Drosophila melanogaster: one gene and its partner. The protein of the gene in region 2 purifies or fractionates together with the protein of the main gene of each other region. This does not show direct contact. Each region holds a gene or a part of one and is shown on either strand. Other genes may lie near its edges.

Region 1 (7,450 bases), on a different chromosome or scaffold from region 2:
TCGTGACATAGGTCCCAGGCCGAGGAAGGAGTTCTGCTCGGCACTGAAGGGCGCTGGGAACTGACCGACATTGGAGACGACCAACTTGCTGGGCTTGTGGCCAAAGATGCCATTGAAAAAGGCTGGCATGCGAATGGAGCCGCCAATGTCGGAGCCCAAGCCAAAGGCGGAGGCAGCCGCCGACTGTATGCAGCCCTCGCCACCGCTGGAGCCACCGACAATGCGGTTAGTGTCGTAGGCATTCCTTGTCCTGCCGTGCACCGTATTGTTGCTCTCCCACCACATGCACACCTCGGAAACATTTGTGAGGGCTATGGGAATGGCTCCCGCCTTGCGCATCAAGGCCATAGCGTCCGCATCCCGCGCAGCACGCACATCCCGACGTTCGAAGAGTCCAGCTGTGTGCAGCATGCCTAAAGCCAAACACATGATTGAGCTATAGCAATGGTAATCCAATTAAGAAACTTATGGGAGCTACGCACCCTTGACGGATATGCAATCCTTGGTGGTAATGGGCACGCCCAGGAAGGGCTTCTCCTTCTCCAACTCCTCCGTGCTGTATTGTCCAGACTTGATCAGGGCATCTGCTTCGGCTGCCTCCTTGAGAGCTTGATCGTAACGTTCATCCACGACACAGTTGAGAATGGGATTCACCTCTTTGATGCGCCGGATAAATGATTCCAAGACCTGGACGCTGCTCAGCTGCTCAAGATGAGTGAAAGTTAGGTGTTTTGTAGATGAAACGATTGCACACACTCACCTCCTGTTTGCGGATTTTCCGTGCCAACGATGTGGCGGACTCCAAGAGAATGGCATCTGTGATCGGTGGAACACTCTCACCCTTTTGGCCATAGATCAGCCGGAAAACAAAGCGAATGCAGGCCTGGAGAATGCCGAAAATGTAACCACCAATGGCCTGGGTCAGTGGCACGCTCTTCGCCATTTTGTGGAATTCTAAGGAATGTGCGCCTGAAGAAGCTCAGCTACTAGGACTCAGAATTGGAACTGCGGGTGTTGGTGGCTGTGTACTTTGCCCTGGCCCATGTGTTATTGCTCTGGAATGTTGAAACGATAACAAAAATGAAATAAATGCATTGAAAATTCATGTTAAATATACTTAAATGAAGGAAGGCACTCATGAATGTGGTTTATTTGCAATTTAAACTGGTTTATCAGGCAACTTTTATAAGACCTTATATAGCAAAAGTAAAAAATAAACAACAAATCAGTAGAAATATAAAATTGGGTCAAAATACCTCGTTCTGGATTTATGATTGGTAATTCAGTCATTTAAGTCGGCAATTCATTTTATGGATATAATGGGTTTTACGCAATATATGAACGTTTCATATCGAAACGGAAAATTTCTATTTATGTGTCTTGAATTATTTCGTGTTTTCATGCCACAAAGTCTCATGATTTCGAATAGTATTTAGCATTACTTATCTACAATAATAAATGAAATTGGTGACAATTTTAATAAAAATAAATATAGTACTCATAGTTGTAGTTCTTTTCACACATCTCAGGTTTAATGACTCGGCAATTAATTGAGCCGTCCCATTCCCAGATAGGCCAAGTCCACACCTGTGTGTGACTCATGGATAGATGGATTCATAAAGGCACATAGGAAATATGGAATCTATATTCGAAATGTAGAACTTTTCTCCAAAGTGCATACATAGAGTAGGAAACCGCGATCATTATATTGGTCCCAAAACAAATAAAGTAACTGAAAATTGCACTAAAATTCAGCAAATAATGACAATATACGTATTGTATTGGGAAAAACGTGTATTTCCGGATAACGAAGAAAAGCCAAAGGAAGCCTATGCATAATACTTCGCTGTTCTGGAAAAGGTTGTTTAAACAAATGACTTTACTGTTCAACTCGTAAACATTTCACTGTTTACAAAAACGAACAATGGAAACTTGTATGGAATTGGATATATGTATACACACATAGATATATGGTTAATATATAGAGCTGGAATCGGGGCAGTATAATGTTTAAGGGAGCCATATGCCCGGCCAGAATCAGGATTTACCTCATTATCTTATCAGGAGTGCGCATCAGACAGCTAATTCGCTGCTTAAACACGAGAAGATAATGGCACAAAGGGAAGCAGACCACGGAGAGTGGTGAATAGCCGAAAAGCCGATCCCCGTCAGCTCACTAAACAGCCAGGTCGTTAACCATATCCACATCAGTACTCCAAATGGTATTACAGAAAAAAAAAAACCAACTGATAAGCGGAGTGAGTCACAGGTCGAAGCTGTTTGTTTATGCCATTCGTTTGCCATAAAAAATAGAGCAACAATTGAAATAGTCGGTTTTGAGCAATCCGAAAAGTGCTTCGTGAATGATTAGTGGAACTCAAAGTTCCCACTTCCTATCGCAATGTGCTTATCTACATATTAATAATAAGAATAATATGTTGTTACGATTTGATTATTCTATTAAGAATGCCTTTCAACATATCGCAGTCTGCTAATTGAACTGCCAGACATTCGAATTTTGAATGCAGTGAGTGCATTATAATCAAGTTCGCACTTTCAAATTGCGGTTGGGGTGAATATTCACGGGGGGGGTGGTGACAATTTGTCTGCCCGTGATTTTGAATAACAAACGAATAAAATGGGTAAAATTGCCAAGAGCATGCTATATGAAGTTCAAAGCACTCTGTATAATGAATGGCAATTATTTTAAATTGGTTTGTAAGCCAGAAATGTTCAGTAGAGCCGGGTTTTTCGTATTTTAAAGTTACAAATAGAAATTCACACTTTAATAGCTCAAAGTCTCATGAGGCCGGTTCCTAGAACTCACTCATAATATTTAATGGAATATCTTTTATAAGCCATTCAAAGTTTGATACTAATGGGTTGCAGTGACACAAATCAAATGGCAAACATTTTCCTGGTGCAATATAAATCTTTTTTGCTTCAGTCGGTCGAAGTTCAATGGGTGGAGATGCGGGACGATAATGGTCCAATAATCGGGCACTTAAGTGGCCAATCCGATAAGATTAGCCATAAATAATAATGAACTTGTTGCTTAGCTCCCCTTTTTGGCTCAGTGTCCAAAATATTCAATTGTAAATTACTCGAGCGACATCCAATCGGAATGTCAATCGCAGTTGCATGCCATTTCTAATTAGAAAAGAGTAGACGGGCCATTGATTTCCAACTGGATGGTGAGATATACATATGTACATATATGTACGCAAAAGGTGGAAAAGCGAAGGTTGCGACCGGCGAAATGGTTTCTGGGGTGTGGTAGGGGCGGCATCGGGGCGAGGGAGTTACCCGGGCGTGCGCCAGTGACATCATTTCGCTATTTCCATTTTCATTTCCAGCATATGCTTTGTTTGCACTACGAATTCATCAAGTGTCATTTGGCACTATGTGCGTACACTGTGCACATGTATGTGTGAGTAAAGTTTGTTTGCCTCAAAAATAAAGCAAACAAAAACATAAACTTAAAACAACACAATCCAACCGATGACGTCACGAGGGAGCCTTTTTATTGTTCAAAATGGAACAATGAATGGGTCACAAGGATAAGAATGATCAGAAATAGCACTTTGTTGAAGTTTAAATTGCAAATAACCGGTTGGCGAACAATGATTAGCGGTTACAAAGCGTTTGGCTGTATTCACAATCGCACAGCTACACTTTAGAGCGGCACGTAAACAAAACGATATGAAACCCAAGATAAGCATTTATACACACACACACACAGAGAGAAAAGTCTAGTTCTCCACCGCAGCGGCAAACAAACTCTATTATTTACCCGCTAAGCACAAACTCAAGTCCAATCAGATGGGCGACTTTTTTTTAAACCTACAGCGCTAGCGTGACCGTGCTTGCCATGCTGGGAAATAACAAACTCGGTTGCGACCAAATTATCGATAGACAAATATGGCAATTTAATACGCGTAGTTTAGTTTTGGTGAAATAAGGCAAATATCAGAGGCATAATTTATAAGATTATTAAGTAAAACCATATAAATAATATAAAAATAAAACAATTAGATGAATAAAAGTTCTTCAACAAAAAAGGGATTAGGTTCAAGTAATTGTTTATTATGTGTGAAAAGCACCTAATTCTTAGGGAGCAATAAAAGATTGATGCGGAATATTGTTCGTTGTTGCTGATGCGAGGTGTCAGGTGGAGAAATACTATTTTAATAGGTTTAGTATTTTTAGACCCTTATGCAGGGAACGCACACTCAAGCAGAGTGGCAACGCCAGCCAAAATTCGAGTTTGACGCTTTCAAAAATGACATCCTAAAACGTTTGCTGCCTGGAAGAGAAGTGAAAACGAACTAAAAGTCGGGTATTATTAGTCTAAGGAAATGAGTACCAAACAGAGCCCGGCCCTCCAGCTGGCGGAGGGGCAGCTAACCAAGCTGACTAGCGAATCGGAAGAGATCCGTATGCGCGCGCTCGACCAGATTGAGACGAGATTCATCAGGTGCCTGCAACTGGGCGAGCCGATACAGTTCAAGCCGGTCCTGCTGCTGAAGCAGCTCATCCGCTGGTTCGGGTACACACCGCCGCTGGTGCCCGACCGTGTGCTGGCCATGATTATGGAACTCCTTCGATCCGAGTACGCCGAGGCGGTGATTCGCAAGATTCCTTACGAACGCTTCAAGGCCGAGCTGCAGAAGGTTCGCCGTGTGCTACACAAGCAGGAGTCCAAGCGGGTCAGCGAATTGCTGGATGATATGAATTTGCTGCTTCTCGAGAAGTACAACATAGACCGGGTGACGCCGAGCGTCTCCAGCCTTAGTTCAAATGACATTCCCAGTCAGGCAACTGAATCCGCAGACAGCAGTTCGAATCAGATTTACGACAATCTGAAACCGGAAGATTACGAGCCCTCCTGGTCGCATCCGTGCTTGGACGATGTGGCCACCATGAAGAGCATGATTGATTTGCCACGAAATAGCGTTGAGTTGCAGTTGCAGCTCACCGAACTGATCATCCGTATGGGCGACTACCCAACTGAGTACTTTCTGCAGCCACCGTTCGTATTCTTGCATCTGGTTCAGTTGCAAACGATGACTGACGGTAGCCTGATACATGTGAACCGGGCACTAATTGCCTGCCTGCGGCTGCTGCAGCAGCGCATCTTGTTGCGCCGAAACACTCTGAGCTACGCGGACAGGTTCGATCCTCCGTCACGCCCCAAGCAAGTGAAGGTGGTGAGCGCCTTGGTAATTCTGCTGGAAAATTGCATGAAGCTGATTCGTCCGTTGCTGTTCAGCTGCACAAACGACAACTGGCACATAATGGAGCTGATCGTGGAAATAGTGCGGACCCACGATGTTCTCAGCTCAAAAATTCCCTTAGTGAGCATTACGCTCATCGCGGACGCGGTCAAAAGTCTGCTGGCGTATTGTAACAGTGTAGAAGGCAGTTGCATGACCCAGCTGATGGACTCGCTCAGGATTCCCCGCCTGCAATCGCTGATCCTTAACGGCGTGCTGCACGATATGGTGGCCTTAAATATAAACTATGACAAACGCATGGACCGACGCCAAGCCAAAGCACTCATCCAACCTATAGTTTTGGACAGCGCTTACCTGTCTGGCATGCCCGAGCGCATGAAGTCGCTAAACACTCTAATATCGTCTTTGGATTCTGGACCATCACCGGACGAGGAGTTGATCAAGCTGAAGCGGGCCTACAGCGTGGCCCTAAATCAATTACATCCGAATACGGAACTGACTGGGTCGCTGCTAATCCAGAAGTACAGACAAGTGTGCCTTGTGCTCGTCCAACTGGGCAGTGAGACATTGGTAAAGCAGCTCTTCGGAGCTGTTGTAAAATGCATTCCATTCTACGCGGGCAATTTAAAGCTAAGAAAGGATGCGGATGAGCTGCTTTACACCCTTGTTGATTTGCCTGCTCTCAAACTTCGTTCACTTATATATCGTTTAATGATCAAATCCACCGTGGCCCACTTTCATTCCTTTATGAACAAGACAGTCTATATGACCGGCTGCAGCAATGTGGATCTGATTCGTCAGCATATCTTAGGCGTGCCGCTAACTCCCCTGCTGTTACGCAGAATGATAATTCAGAGTTCGGAAGCAAATACTTCGGAACGTATGCAGCAGTGGTGCCTCGACTATCCTATAATGATTATGAAGCTAAACGCTATTCTAGCTCCGCAGGATTTCAGCGTTGTTTTCCCGTTGCTACTCCCCGTGCTGCCTCTGCTGATCAGCAGGTCGGTTACACACAAGATATTGCACAACGTCATATGGAACGTTTTAGAGCCGGACTCCAGCCGTTTGGATCCGCAATTGATGCTGCGCGGGTACGTTTACTTCATGTTCCATCCGGATGGCGAGGTTAGGAGCGAGGCCACCACTACAATTGCTTACGTGCTGCAATGTCAGGAGCAAACGAATAGATATTTGCCCACCGCAAGCAACGTACCGGTTGAGCACATCGCCAACGATCTCTGCATAATTCAACCACCATTCTGTTATAGAAGCATTTTCATCAAATGCTCTGATGAGCGGTTTCAAGGTCAGCGCAGCTTGGACGCCCTGTTCCGATTACTCCAGGCCAAGGACATAAAGTCGAATATCCGAAAGTCAACAATGACTCAATTAAATGTCTTGCTACGAAACTGGAGAGCTTGTGAGGAATTCTCCACAAAGGAGGATGGATATCGACTGATTATGGAGTCTCTGCACAACGCTCTGAAAAAGGGGAACGACACTGATATTCTGCTGCCCACTGTGAGTATCCTGATGAAGCTTCTGTTCAATGACGATGAGTTTCGATTAGAAGTCGCGAACACATTCGGGGTGTACACTTTACTGCTGAGGGCTTTATTCTTGTTCCCCCACTTGGAACAGTTGCGCCAGGATGTCAGTATATGCCTGTTCCAAATGCTGTTCCAGAATTGTATCACCTCCACTGAAGACAAACTGGTACTGAATGCGAATATGGAACCCCTGATTTTGCCTGTAACCTATGAAATTGAACATAAAGTTATACCCACTGCCGTTACGGAAGGATTGGAGCTGCAACAAAATGTGGAGGCGACCCATTTCGGGCGAGATAGGGCAAAAGCTGCACAGCATTGGCGACTGTATATGGCCTATCGCGTTTGCCAGGTTCCATCCAGCATTACTTTGGAGTCTGTGAGCGCTTTGGATATAAGGGAGTCTCTTAAGATCAAAATGGCCGATTTGGCGTTAGTAAGATCCTCCGACTTAAATGAGCAGCTAAGTTGTCAGTTTATCGCAGCGGAGAATTGCAGCAAACACGAGGATCTGCAAAAAACTGTGTCGGCCATTCAGCTATTTCTCGTGGTTCTGCGAAACTCATTAAGTGATACGGTGGCTGAGAACTTGTGGAAATTAATCCATAAGTACATCCGCTTAGCGCCGGGGAACGAAGCGGATGACAAGGTGTACAAGTC
Region 2 (7,450 bases):
ATCCTCCTGAGACTCTGAAGCGTCGGGATCATTGTTCTGACTTGCATCAAGCTTCTTTGATCTTCTGGGTGCCGTTGAACGTCTGGCCATCGATGGCTCTCTAGGATTGGGTCGTTTCGGCCCACTTCCCGGCTGGCTGTCATTGCTCAGGCTGCTGGTATTGAGCGGCTGATTGATGCTCGCATCCAACGAAGATTCACCAAACGACAGGTTGCCTGCATCACTGGAACTGGTCGCAGCCATGCCCGGAGCTGAAGGAAACTGTGCTCGTCGCTTGGCCCGCGTGGTGGGGGCTTCAATGGGAGGCAGGTATATGACCCGACCGTAGCCGCGCACAACCTTCGCGGAGGTGGGCGGAGTGCTTGCTGCCACGCTCCTCGAGGGTGTACTGCAGGCAATCGGCAATGAGGTCATCGATTGTGCGGGCTCCGTAAGACTTGCATTCGGCAGTAGGTTCGTGTGTGCCTGTAAAGGAGCAATGCAGTTAGCTAGCAAAATCAATAACCAGGATATTCTACACTTGCCTGTACTTGCGGCACGTCTACGGGCTCAATGGACGTAGGCATAGATACGATGGCGTCCAGGGTTCCGGGCTCTGTACTAGCCAATACTTGCTTAACCACCTCGGCCTCAAACTGTTTGTCCTCCTCGATGAGACCGACCACGTGCTGGAGAAAATCAGCTGTAATCTCATCCTCATTCGCCGTATCCATTATATTATTCGGATCGGCTGCAGCTGCATTTCCCACTCCCTGCATCTCGGGAGCTGGAAAAATATTCGTAGGCAAGGACACTGGTGGCGGATCTAGATCCGCCGCTGTACTCTCCAGCATCTTAACCAGTTTCGGTATATCCTCGTCCGCATTTACTACCGGCTGCTCCACAAGCGTGGACTTAAGTAGCTCGTCCTGCACAATCGAGTTGATCAGATCGAGCTGCTTGTCATTTTCTGCTGCCAGCTCGGAGGAACTCTGGTGCGTCTCGATTACTATTTGGGCGGGCAGTTTATGCGACTGAGCTGTGTCCACGCCGATGGGCATGAAGCCCTTGGATGGGGTATGTGCCTGAGCAGGAACCGGAACCACAATTGGCGACATCTGCTGATTGTAGCTCGATCTCGGCGTGCTTGGCGACATGACGGCCCGGTGTCGGAGTGGAACTGGCGAAGATTTTGTGGCTGCATTGTTGTCCTCACCCAGCAAAGTGTTGAGATTGGTAAACACTCCTTTGGGACTGGCCATATTCTTGTTGATAATAATCTCTTTAACTTCCTGCGGCGAGTTTACGATCCTTCCCAATTGCACGGCAGGCATACGACGAACATTGGAATTGGCCGGTGTCGTTGGCAGTGGAGGTCTCTTCACAGGCAGCGATTGATGTGTGGGCCGGATTTTGAGAAACGATGTGCTTGGAAGACCTCTGCCTAGGGCAAACACTGCGGGCACTGATTTTGTGGCAGGCATCTGGATTATTTGCCCAATTTGCGGCGCCTTCGGCTCCAAAACTTCCTTGCGTTTCTTCAGCTCGGGGAAGTGCTGCGGCGTTGTGGGTGGCGGAGGCAGCGGCTTCATTGGTTTGCTGGGAGTCTGCCTAACCACCTTTCTAACCCGCTTCCTCTTATTCGGATTACGTCTATTGCTATGCCTCATATCGAAGTCCATGTCACTGTCCCTGTCGTTGTCCGATTCCTGGAACTCATCGCTCTCCTCACTCATTTCCTCCGAATCATAGGCCTTGTCGGCATTTTCCTCTTCGGCGGAATCCGAGCTTTGGGCGTCATCATCATCTTCGATGTATTCCTGCACAGGCGGAGCAATCACTTTGACTGGAGCACGAGTGGGCCTCAGCCTGGCATTGACCGAATTGTTCGCGATAATCTCTGGCTTCTGTCTTGGCAGTGGCGAATGGATGGGCTTGCGGATCAGCTGCACTTTCGGTTGCAGCTGCGCTGCCTGCTGAACTTGGTGGGGCTTGACTGGCAGTCTCTGGACCTTGACCTGCACCGGGCTTAAGGGTATGGCCTGGACTCGTTTTTTGGCATTGATTAGCTTGACACTGCCCGGTGCCTGCATTATGATTTTGCGGCTTTGGGCCTGCATTTCCATGGCCATCTTCTCATCGCGCTTGTGGTTCTTCAGCTGCTCTGGCGAGGTAAACGGTGTGTAGTTGTGGTCATTTCGAATAACTTCCATAAGAGCGTCTGTCTCCGCAGTCCTTTTGTAGACGGAAACTCCGGCAAGCTCTGTAAATAGAATACAAATTAGTTGAAAGCTAAAGTTCGTTTACTTTCGTTGTGCTCGAAATAATGATGTTGTTTTGCTTTATCATTTGGACCACATCGATGTACGTTATTTACTCAGTGCATTTTTCACAACCATATCAGCCGTGTTGTCCGCATAAAACTGCTCCACTCGCAAACCCACAATTTGTGGACGCTCCTTGGGTTTGCGTCGCTTTCGCTTTTTGATGGCCTTGGGCTTTCGGCCAACTCGCTTGCGTGTGCGCGGGGCATCGGCTTCCGTCTCCGTGGAGTCGCTATTGTTGTCGTCACCGGTGTTATGGTTCTCCTCGTCGTGTTCATCCATCTCACTGGCATTATCGCCACCACTTTGGCTGCCATTGTCACTGTCCAGCTCCGAGTCGGTGGCAGTTTCCATAAAGTTCGCCAGCTCCTCCAGCCGTTCGTCTTCCTCTTGGTCCACCATGCTCGGCGTGGGCGATGTAATCCGCACCACGCTAATGGTGGAAATCGATTTTTCCTCTGCAACAAGCCCATGTCAGTGTGGGGAGCAATGAGCGTGTGTCAGGCCTATTGGACCCACTTACCCATGATGTTCCCAATCGCACGCTCGTCGAAGGAGATTCCGCTCTTGCTGTAGACCACAACCAGATTGGAGTCGGCTTCGGCTGCCGCCGGCCGGGCGCTGGGCGCCTCCGTAAACACCGAACTGGACATGACGCCAACTGCTCGTGATCCCCGCTAGCGGCGCATTGGAGTCGGCGGCCCACACAGCGTGTACTTAATTAGCTTGGAACAGAACAACGACTCATTTGTTGTTGCATCCGCCGCGTTGTGACGCCGACATTGAAATTGGATAGTAGGTGGAAAACGGTCACTGGGCTGCGTTCGCCCTATACTTAATACTGGTGATGCTCTGCTGGCTGCGCCCACAAGCTGGCTGTTATATTGTTGAGATTCGAGAGCTTAATCCGTTGCTGTTTCGCTTTAAAATGCAAATTTTTCTCAATTATGAAAATAAAATTTGCAAAAAAAGCCACTTCCAGTGTGACCAGACTTGGGAATGATGCCGATGCTGTAGGTTATCGATAGTTTCTGTGCCTCGCTCTGCGGAACTAGTTTCAATTGCTAGCTCATTTGAACAAAATGTTAATCTGTGTTTATTTAGGGAAATCCTTTATTTTCAAGGTCGGCTGCCAAAAAGGAAAACCGTATGATAAATAAATGAATTGAGCTAATTAAAAATATTAAAGAATATATTTAAAAAAATAAAATTCCCGATCGATGAATTGTAATTTAAGCTTGTTTTTTTTCGCGTTCAGTTCTCGGTCATACTTTTGCGAAAACAGAAAACAAAAAACACTGATAAAACCCACATAATTTACTGCCTTTGTTAGCCCGGTTATTGGCTATTATCAGCTAATCTCACTTGCTCGAGCACTCATTGTTGTCCAGAGCGCCAGTTAAACTTTGTCCTCCGTCGCAACACCATGGCCGCCTTTCAGATGGGATCGGGTTACGCAGTGCCCATGACCCTCTTCCGGAACAACAGGGATCGTGCTGGCAAGGCCATCCTTAAGGAGCTGCTGCCGGGCCTCAAGTTCAACGACGGCAACCTGCTGGTGCTCCTCGAGGGCGGCAAGGACCAGAGCCTGTACAACACCGACGTGGACTACGTTTTCCGGCAGGAGTCCTATTTCCAGTACTTGTTCGGTGTCAAGGAGCCGGGCTGCTACGGCATCCTAACCATTGATGTGAAAACTGGTGCACAGAAAAGTGTTCTCTTTGTTCCTCGCTTTCCCGATGAGTACGGCACCTGGATGGGCGAACTGCTTGGGCTGCAGGAGTTCAAGGCCATGTACGAGGTGGACGAGGTGTTTTATGTTGACGAAATGAGTGTTTATCTGGAGGGGGCGTCGCCCAAGCTGATACTCACATTGAGTGGCACCAACAGCGATAGCGGGCTCACCCTTCAGCCGCCCGACTTTGCTGGCAAGGAGAAGTATGTGACTGACTGCAATCTGCTGTATCCAATTCTCTCTGAGTGCCGAGTGATCAAGTCACCCGAAGAGATCGAGGTGCTGCGCTACGTGGCCAAGGTATCCTCGGACGCGCACATCAAGGTGATGCGGTTTATGCGTCCCGGTAGAATGGAATTTGAGGGCGAATCCCTGTTCCTGCACCACGCCTACTCCGTGGGCGGCTGCCGGCATGCCTCCTACACCTGCATATGCGGCAGCGGAACGAACTCGTCGATCTTGCACTATGGACACGCGGGCGCACCCAACAGCAAGCCCGTCCAGGATGGTGATCTCTGCCTGTTCGATATGGGAGCCAACTATTGTGGCTATGCGGCCGACATAACCTGCACATTCCCGGCCAATGGAAAGTTCACCGACGACCAGAAGTTCATCTACAATGCCGTGCTGGATGCCCGCAATGCGGTCACAGAGTCAGCCCGTGACGGAGTCTCCTGGGTGGACATGCACAAGCTGGCGGGCAGGGTGTTGCTGCAGCGCCTGAAGGAGGGCGGCATGCTCAAGGGCGATGTGGAGGAGATGCTCGAGGCAGGTGTTTCGGGCGTGTTCCAGCCACATGGCCTGGGCCACTTGATCGGTCTGGATGTGCACGACGTGGGCGGCTATCTGCCCAAGGAGCCCAAGCGCCCCAGTGAACCGTGGCTGAGCAAGCTGCGCTTTGCCCGCATCCTTAAGGCCGGCATGTATGTCACAATCGAACCCGGCTGCTACTTCATCAACTGGCTGATGGACCGCGCTCTGGCCGATCCGAACATTGCTAAATTCATTAACGCAGAGATGTTCAATCGCTTCCGGAATTTCGGAGGTGTGCGCATCGAGGACGATGTGCTCATCACGAAGACTGGCGTGGAGAACTTTGCGATTGTGCCGCGAACGGTGGAGGACATCGAGGCAACCATGACCTGTAAATATGATTCGCCGGTTTAGAGCTTTTAAACTATATTCCACGCGTAAACATATGTAATATAATCTGTATCATAATCAAATTATGGAATACCCAATAAATAAATAAGGTCTCATCAGTTGACATCTAAAGGTTTGTCAAGTTTCTATGGGAAACTTTAAAACAATACTTTAATTATACATATTTATATATATTTTACTTTGTCGCCATGAGATTTACGCTGCATTTACTATCTGAAAAAGATAAGCGTTATCTGCTGATACACAACTGGATTAATTTCGATTCACATCAGCAACTGATACCAAACTTTCGCGTTATTTATTGGTCGACATTGTTAACAGAGTAAACGGGATGACGGCCTGGCTAAGCGTTAAACAGTCGAGTCTCCAAGCGGAATCTAATTCTATATACAAGCCGAATGTGGCACAGAATGCCATCGATTGATCTCTGCCCGATCCGGGCTACATGTACTTTTTGGCATGTCCGTTTCGCTGCTGCTGCTTCAAGTGGCTGTGGGCGTTGCCATTCTGGGCCGCAGGTGCTGGTGTCTCGCTGTTGCCATCGCCGCTGCCTTCATGGACCGCCTCAATGACCTCAACGGCGCTGCGTCGTGGGAACCAGCCACGAATGGGACCCTTGCGTTGGCGCTTCTTGACGCCAGCTAGCTCTTGCTCGGAAAGCACTCGCTCGCCGAACAGCCAGTGGTTGCGGAAGCGAGTGACCTTAATCATGTCGTTGGGTCGCAGGCTGATGCGTGGCTCATCGGAGCAGGGAGCGGCCACACAAACACGCCAACCCTGCGAAAAGATCGGCAGCCAACGGCCAGTCACTGGCCTTGTGCATTTGAAGGTGCGGGTTCGAGCTCGTTTCTCCTCCTTCTGCGCCAGTTGCTCGCGCTGCAGGAAATACATGTTAATCTGCGCTCTCTAAATACAATCTGCAATACTCACCGTCAATGTATACTGATCACAACCCTCCACCACTGGCCACTCGATGCCATCGCCTCGCTTTTGGCACTCGTCATTGAATACCAGTCGCAAATTTGCCCGCCAGCCCAAATCATAGGGATATAGGAACTCGTCGTCGCAGTCGGCATTCCTATATCGGCGGTAAATGGCCTTCTCCACTATCCAGATCTCTATGCCCGTCTGGTTGTTTACAATCGTCTTCAGCTGAATGAACAGCAGCATGCTCAGGCCAATGACGACACCGATGGCCAGGCCCATGCCCAGAATGCACATGATGATGCTGAGCAGAGTGAACTGCACGCTAGCCAAGTGCGCCAATCCGTGGGTGAGATAGTAGTAGCGGTAGATTCCCCGCCAGAAGGAGCAGCACAGCACCACGGTGCCCTGCAGGCTGCCCAGGATGGAGAAGAGCAGGAAGTATGTGAAGTACGCGTGGTTGGCCCAGCCAACGCAGTGATTGATCCATGGGCAGTGATGGTCCATCTTCTTGACGCAGCGATCACCTAAGTGGTCAGATATATAAATCATTATGGTGTTCGATTTAAACAATTTTCATTTGCTTAAGTTCTTTTAAATTCCTGTGCAAATCATCTTAATATCACTTACACTTGCGACAATGATGGGAGCGTGGTGCCTTGTAGCCCTCGCACTTTTTGCAGTACTGCAGGAACTGGGCGTCCTTGGGATCCTGACAAAAATTAAAATTCATTAAAATACACAGCGAAAACGAGTATATTATTCGTGATTTATGCGCGTTTCCCGATGCCGTCAGGTACAACAAAACCTAACGACGCACAGCTCATTAGGTGACCGACCACCTCCCACCCACCTTCTATCGCCCATGAGCCACGCAGCTAGCCAAAGAAATCCGCCCCTCTTGCGTCTGGGCTCGCCTACAAAACATTTATGCAAATTCCGGTAATTGCATTACGGACTTTGGGCCCCGTAGAGTGCGTTCGCGTGCAGGGCCCGAACTGCCCGGCCGTAATGTGAGGAGTCGCCGCTAATAAATTATATTTGGGTCGCACTACTGCCACGGCCGGACAAAATGAATGGCGGTCGAAAAACGTTACAGCCGTTGGTGGCCCCTGCACGACATCTATGCATACAACGGACCGGGTCCGGATTCTTTAAAATAAATTGCAGCGTTTAATTGGCACGGATTATGCGCGATAAGCAGTCAAACACGCCAATGGGCCGGCTTGGCCCATTTGTCTGGCCTGGAAATCGGACCCCGTTGAGAGCGAACTCCTCCGGAAAACTCGGCACCTGCTCATCGGACGCTAAACAATTGCTTCCG

What was found. Proteins that work in one complex are often made in the same cells at the same time.
Region 1: the proteins of Dip-C (region 2) and CG8839 purify together in Drosophila melanogaster (affinity purification with mass spectrometry, with the first as the bait; one large-scale study listed by BioGRID). This does not show direct contact.

The regions. Positions count from the first base shown.
Region 1 is NT_033778.4:12,340,728-12,348,177, forward strand, and holds the start of CG8839 (uncharacterized protein), read right to left. Parts: upstream 3,891-7,450; 5' UTR 3,733-3,890; intron 1,370-3,732; exon of another isoform or gene 1,257-1,369; intron 1,204-1,256; exon of another isoform or gene 1,118-1,203; intron 1,056-1,117; 5' UTR 944-1,055; coding exon 761-943; intron 703-760; coding exon 483-702; intron 414-482; coding exon 1-413. Other genes in the region: ana3 (anastral spindle 3), read left to right, coding at 4,359-7,450.
Region 2 is NT_033777.3:12,409,663-12,417,112, reverse strand, and holds Dip-C (dipeptidase C), read left to right. Parts: upstream 1-3,353; 5' UTR 3,354-3,729; coding exon 3,730-5,205; 3' UTR 5,206-5,304; downstream 5,305-7,450. Other genes in the region: pps (protein partner of snf), read right to left, coding at 1-465, 525-2,242, 2,357-2,761, 2,827-2,956; CG5196 (uncharacterized protein), read right to left, coding at 5,644-6,078, 6,133-6,653, 6,757-6,838.